Linked DNA regions of Callithrix jacchus. The protein of the gene in region 2 purifies or fractionates together with the protein of the main gene of each other region. This does not show direct contact. Links are inferred from orthologs where the notes say so. Each region holds a gene or a part of one and is shown on either strand. Other genes may lie near its edges.

Region 1 (3,162 bases), on a different chromosome or scaffold from region 2:
CATGAGGAGCTGCACCTCCGAGAGCCTGTTCTTGCCCTACTACCTGCCAGCGTCAGAAGCCAGGGGACCATGCCCTGGGGCCGCAGGGAGGTGAGGTGGGCCAGAGACCACACAGATGGTCTTCAAGCTGGCTGGCTGAAGAGTTGAGACTGTAGCTGGCCTCGGAATCAGAAAAGACTGCCAGTCTGAGTGCAGTGGCTCACACCTGTAATCCCCACATTTTGGGAGGCTGTGAGAGGATCAATTGAGCTCAGGAGTTCAAGGCCAGCCTGGCCAACATGGCAAGACCCCATCTCTACAACAAATTTTAAAAATTAGCCAGACATGGTGGTGTATGCCTATAGTCCTAGCTGCTTGGGAGGCTGAGGTGGGAGAATCGCTTGAGCCCAGGAGTTTGAGGTTGCAGTGAGCCACGATCATGACACTGCACTCCAGCCTGGTGGACAGAGAGACAGTGTCTCAAAAAGCACACCACCCAAGACTGGCAGAGACTGGGCGGCCTGGGGCTGATGAAGCAGAGATGTTCCCTGGAGCCCAGGTCCTACCCCTCAGGAAAGACAAAAAAAAGAAGATTTGCATCTGTTTAATGTATATAAAGCCAAGAAAGGACAGTCCCAAATTCAATAGAAATATCCTGTATAATTCATACAGTGGGGTTTTGGGGAAGAGACAAAGATATAGAACCCACAGCTGAACATGTACAAAAATAACTTACACAGCAACCCTCACCTGCAAGGATAATGCAGCTCTGCCCAGCCCCCAGGGCTGGGGGGCGCACTGCAGACATGGCACCATGGGAGCCAACCTGTGTGGGCCCCAGATGCAGGTGGGAGTGAGGAGGGCACCAGTCCAGAGGTGAGGGAGGCTATTAGGAGGCCTTGAGGCGGTTGGCTGAGCGCGAGCTCAACAGCTTGTCCACCATGGTGCGGGCATAGCGGAGCCGGCTGGCCAGCTCCTTGCAGCAGCCGTACTCCTCCAGGAGACTCAGGCGGTATGTACGGAAGTCCCGCTTCTCGTCAATGTAGGTCACGGCTGCCATCAGTGGGCACAAGATGAGCTTGGTGTGATCCTGTAAGAGAAGGGGGCAGCAATTGGTGATCCCAGAGGCCAGTTTATGTTAGGGAGCAGAGGGAAGACACAACAGGTATAGGTACCTGAGCCGCTCACTCCGCACTCAACTCACATGGGCCACTGCCAGGCACACGGAGCCTACCCCAGCCTCTGGTGACCTCCAGCTCACCTGAAAGAAGTTGATCTGCACGCTGCCGTTGCTGAGGTGCAGGATGATGGCACTGCGGGTGCGGAACCAGGTCCGCAGGTAGGGCAGCCGGGCAAGCTCATCACCTTCACGTGGCGTGATGTTGGCACCTGCCTTCAGCAAGTGCTCACTCATGTAATTGCGGAAATATTTAAGGAGGGTGATCTGGATGAAAAGTAGGGGAGGGGTTCTAGAATTAGAGTCTGACCCTCTAGCACAAGTCCCACTCCCACAACACCACGCCCCCTGGGCAGGATGGCACTCACCTTCTTCATCAAAGAGTTGGGATGGGAACTCACGGTGAGGTAGGACTCAGTGCCATCACGCTCTATATACTGCAGGCTGTCACCATCGTTGTAGAGAATAAGGCGTGTTGAGTCATTGAAAAGCACCCCCACACTGTTATCACACAGCTGATACCCTAGAGATTGGTGGAGAGAGGCCTCAGAAAGAGGGAATTGAAAGTGGGGAGTGGGGCCAGGTGAGGCGGCACATGCCTGTGATTCCAGCACTTTTGGAGGCTGAGGTGGGAGGATTGCTTGAACCCAGGAGTTTGAGACCACCAGCCTGGGCAACATAATGAGATCCCATCACTACAGAAAATTCTAAAAATTAGTGGAGTGCGGTGGTGTGCGCCTGTAGTCCCAGCTACCCAGGAGGCTAAGCCAGGAGCTAGCCTGGGAGTTTGAGGGCTATAGTAAGCCATGATTGCGTCACTGCACTCCAGCCTGGGCGATAGAGCAGGACCCTGTCTCTGGAAAAAAAAAAAAAAGTAGGGGAGTCAGGGAGCACTGGGAGCTGGAACTGGGAGGCCTGGGATGGAGAGAAGAGAGCACTAAGAAGAGAACTTGGGAGCCCAAAAAAGCCAGAGTCTGTAACAACTGAAAGGTCACCTGGCTGTACCTGAGTCACCCACCTGTTCTAGTAGAAACCTACCAAGGCCGTACTTGTCCGAATAGTCCACCCACTTGCTGACCCAGAAGATGGGGATACAGGCAGGATCCTCAGCCTCCTCTGAGACAGAAACAGACAAACAATTGGTCAGGACCAGCCTCTTCCCCTCTGGTTCACACATGTGGCCCACACCAGGGAACAGGGAATCTTGCTGAGCACTCCACCTGGGCTGAGTTGAGAGGCCTGGGGTCCCAGAGAAGAGCAAAGCAGGGCCTCTACTGCTAACAGGCTTAGACAAGCAGCAGCACAGACATCTACACAGAAAATCTCAGCACAGAACGACAAGTTCCACTCATTCCTTCATTCCACTGACTGATTCATTTATTGAAGGCCTACTATGCCTGCCAGGCACTGTCACATGTACAGTGAGCAACAGACAAAACCCCAGCCTCCACAGAGCTTACACTGTGGCTGTAGGGACAAAGACTAATCAAATTAAGTATGGGCAAAATGTCAGTGACTTCTATTATGGTAAGAGTCAGAGGACGATATTATCTAGTTTTCCAGTTTGGAATAATTAAGAAACTGTGAAGACAGAAGCCAGTTGCAAACACATCAAAATATTATGTTCAGTGCATGCAACAAATCCCTTATTTAAAATCCAATAAATAAAGATGGATATGTTGGACTATGTTGGGTGAGAAGTATTATGGAGAACTATGCAGCGGGCAAGAGGATGAGAAGCACTAGCAGATAGGCCAGGGAGATGCTCACAGTGGTGACACTGGAGCAGACACTTGAAGGAGGCCACAGTGTGAGCCATGAAAGCTAGTGTCTGCTTTCATGACAGGGCCAGGGAGCCATAGGTGTGAAAGCCCTGAGGTTGCAGCCCATCTGGGCCTGTTATTTCAAGTGTCTTGAAGAAACAATAGGAACTTACTGAGCAAAAGAAACAGCATATGAAGGTGGCATATCAAGGTGCTAAAGTAAGAGACGGATCAGAAAAGAAG
Region 2 (3,816 bases):
CCACTGGCCAGCTGTGCTCCTGCGGTCTTGTTGATCTCCGTCACACCCACACTGCCCAGGCTGGAGGGCTCCTTTCTCCGCAGGAAGTCATTCACTTTGGCCCCCATGGCTTTGCCCAGGTTCTTGAGGTGCTGGCTGCTGCCCACCCAGAGTCCCGCCCCCCCAGGCTCAGCAGAGCCCAGAGGGGCAGAGCTGGGGGCCACGGGCTTGGACAAGTGGGGGAAGGAGCGGCTGGCCTGGAGCTTTGGAGTGAGGGCTGTGTTCAGATTCTCAAACATGCCATGGTCAACTATGAACAAAGAGGGGACAGACAGACAGAATGAGGAAAGGGGAGCAGGACCTGTGCCCTATCATTCAGCTTTCCTTACGCCACACCCAAAACTTAGAACCTTCCAGGCTTTGGAAACATTCAAGAAAGAGCCAGCAAAGACACTCTTGAACTTTCCACTGCAGTTTTCTTGATGGCAGAGGAATTAGAAATTCTAGCTCTGCCCCATCCACGTTAATCAGGGACTAATCCTAGCCACAAAAAAATAAAATTATTCCTTTAAACCTGCCTCCTTGACTCATGGCTTGCCCGCTTTACCTTGGAATCACCAGGCCCTTTGAAGTAAAGAAAAAATGAGGATGAAGCAAAGAAACATGACATTTTTATATCGCCCTGGGCACGTGCTGAGCTCTCAGAGGGTTGGAAGCTGGTGGAGGGATGGCATGGATGAGGCTTGGTGTTAGACGCTCCCCATTGAAGGACAGAGGGGTATGGGTATTGGGCATACAGCACATATTCTCCATGAAAAATGGGGCAGCCCCTCCTCAGGTCTGCAGAGGTAGGACTTGAGCGAGTGGGCCAGCTCTCGCAGAGATGCTAAGTGGTGGTTCAGAATCAGTTCCTACCAAATGGATAGGTGCTCGGTGCCAGTGAAGCTTGAGGATCCTAGTGAACATCAGCTCACTGAATCCTTACAACCGCCTAGGGAGGTGGTGCATGGAAGGATACCTACCTATAGATGAAGCAAGCGGGACTCCACGTAATACAGTGCTGTGCCTGAGGTCACACAGCTAAATAGCAGCAGGGCTGGAACTAGAACTCGGGCCTTCTAACCCACAGCTCAGGGCTCTGTCTACAACTCCGCCCTGCTTTGAATCATGGAAAGCTGCCTATATATGTCTGGTACATGGTCCTTCATGTAGGGGTCCTCTTTGGCTTGAAACTGAACTCAAAGAGCTGGGTATAAACCCATTAGGTCATAAAGATTTGCAAGGAGGCCATGCCTCATTCATCTTTGTATCTTCAATGCCCAGCCTGGGTTTGGCACATAGCTGGTGCTCAATACAGATCTTGAATCGCCAACACCCATTTTGTAGATAGAAAACTGTGGTGGGCAAGATAGTAGCTCCAAAGTTTGTTACTGAAATGACTGGAGCTCCAGGCTCTAAGCCATGCTGTCCACACACTCACACTTGGGCATCCTCTCCCTATCTGGAAATCCAGCTTAGTCATCAGGCAGCCAGACCTACTCTGAGGCCTTGGGACCTGGATCAAGGTTTCTGTCTATAACAACTACCCCAGATAAGTTGTCAGTCTGAGGGAAGACGATTACTGGACCATTTGATCACTAGGCTCCTCTCCTTGTCAACACCTCTGCTAAGTGTCTATTCTCACTGAGCCTCTTCTAAGAGTAACTGGGGTTAGGGTACAGTTTTTCTTCTGTTGAATTGTTATGTAAAGCAATTCTCTCTGCCCTACACTGCTGCATCCTGGGCCGGTAGCAACCTTTTTTGTGGTTTCAGTGGCGCTATCCTTGCTAGGCCAACTACCTAGATATGCCATATTCTAAGGGCCTTTGGGTGGCAGGGAGGAAAAGCTGTGGGAAGAGGAGTGGAGACTGCTCTCTGCAGATGAGTCCTGCGATCTTCACCACTGCAAGGTGAGGTCAGGCCAGGGAACACTATGACAGCATCCCTTGGACATAGGACCTGAGCTGGCTGGGCTCCAGATGGACCCGCCACTCTAGCAGAAGCTTCCAGCCCGCTCCACAGCAAGCAGGGTCAACTCCTCATGATTCTCCTAAGTGCATATCTTGCCACATCATCCAATTTGGCACAATTTGCCTGTCAGGTCCCACATTGTTCTTATTTTCTTTAATCATGTCATCGCAAACTAGCAAAGAAGATTTGGAAACCAAACCATTTAACTATAATCCCCCAAACCAGAAAGTACATAGACTATAATGTAACCATACAAAATGCTTGGGGAAGGCAAATTGCCACCACTTCCCAAATCAGACATTTCCTTGCTGGCTTCCTTACTGGTTTAAAGTGAATTTTCGCAGCAGACCTATTTGGTTTTAAAAAGGCAAGCACCAAAAACGCCTGCCAAGGTGATTCCTAAATTATGAGCTATTATTTTTAAAAGACTCTTAGTAGGCCAGGCGCAGTGGCTCAAGCCTGTAATCCCAGCACTTTGGGAGGCCGAGGCGGGTAGATTATGAGGTCAACAGATCGAGACCATCCTGGTCAACATGGTGAAACTCTGTCTCTACTAAAAATACAAAAAATTAGCTGGGCATGGTGGCGTGTGCCTGTAATCCCAGCTACTCAGGAGGCTGAGGCAGGAGAGTTGCCTGAACCCAGGAGGCGGAGGTTGCGCTGAGCCGAAATGGCGCCATTGCACTCCAGCCTGGGTAACAAGAGCGAAACTCCATCTCAAAAAAAAAAAAAAGAAAAAAAAGACTCTTAGTAATAAACATAACTCTGGATTATCCACCATTTTGGATTTCCTGCATTTTTTGCTCTCTATCCTTCATAACATACTCCATAAAATGCACTGAGTTCTCAAGTAATTGAAATATAACCTATCATGCACTTCACACTTGTCTAAATCTTTCCAGTAAATACACCCAGTCTTAAAATGATAGGCTCCTTGAGAGGCCATAGCATCTGAAGTGTTTCTTCATCTTCCACAATGCCTAGCTTAGGGTCTTGCATGTAGAGCCTTTAATAGCCATTTAATAAGTTTGTTCAACTAAATCTGACTTTTCTATGAATTCTTAAAACGTGCATGATGGGCTGGCATTGTAGGGAAACTGCTCACAAGTCTTTCTCCATTTATAAAAGCCACTCAAAACCCCCTCTATGGGAGTGGTCTTCAGGGGCTCTTGAGGTTAGACCAGGAGAACTGCCCTTCTATTCAAAGTGGAAGTGGGGCTCTGGCTGGAGGTCACTTTATCCCCACGTCTGAGGATGTACAATGGGTCCCTTTCTTGATGATGGCTCTAATGATCCCCACACATTGTCCCTCTTGCCCTAGGACTAGACGCTTGGTGGTTCAGAAAATAATGGCAATGAAGGAGAGAGAGATGACTGCATCCCAGCCAGGTGACCCTCCCAACAGCACCCCCCGCCAACATGCATACAACTCAAGCAGAGGAGGGCATCTGGAGATGTAAGTCATCCACAACAAACAGGATATCTTACCTGTCCGAGAAAGGAGCTCGGAAAGCAGGTGGGAAACAAACAAGAGAAAGACACATTTTACGTAGTGACCAATCGCTTTGAGAGTGTCACCTCCTGCCTGGGCCACCAGCAGCAGCATACCTCAGGAGGACACAGCACGCAAGACAAGGGCCCTGCTGTGAGGAGTGGTGCACACCCTGAACCACCAGGATCCCACAAGCTTATCAGTGACTAAACAAAAACAGGGTCATATTTTAAAACTCTACACAGGCACTGAGAGATTCCGCCCCCTATATTCCCCGTCAGTATTTTGAGCCCCCTTTACATTAGATCTGAGCTTCCAGTGGGAGAGTCTGAAGT

What was found.
Region 1: the proteins of C18H1orf226 (region 2) and PLK1 purify together in Homo sapiens (affinity purification with mass spectrometry; 3 studies listed by BioGRID and IntAct, counting the BioPlex papers as one, with this or other methods). This does not show direct contact. The link is inferred for Callithrix jacchus from reciprocal best matches to the Homo sapiens genes C1orf226 and PLK1.

What each region holds. Positions count from the first base shown.
Region 1 is NC_133513.1:24,296,742-24,299,903, reverse strand, and holds the end of PLK1 (serine/threonine-protein kinase PLK1), read right to left. Parts: intron 2,273-3,162; coding exon 2,195-2,272; intron 1,680-2,194; coding exon 1,525-1,679; intron 1,424-1,524; coding exon 1,241-1,423; intron 1,070-1,240; coding exon 869-1,069; 3' UTR 568-868; downstream 1-567. Other genes in the region: ERN2 (serine/threonine-protein kinase/endoribonuclease IRE2), read left to right, coding at 1-94. UniProt on the Homo sapiens protein: Serine/threonine-protein kinase that performs several important functions throughout M phase of the cell cycle, including the regulation of centrosome maturation and spindle assembly, the removal of cohesins from chromosome arms, the inactivation of anaphase-promoting complex/cyclosome (APC/C) inhibitors, and the regulation of mitotic exit and cytokinesis.
Region 2 is NC_133519.1:22,230,616-22,234,431, reverse strand, and holds part of C18H1orf226 (uncharacterized protein C1orf226 homolog), read right to left. Parts: 5' UTR 3,596-3,816; coding exon 3,478-3,595; intron 290-3,477; coding exon 1-289.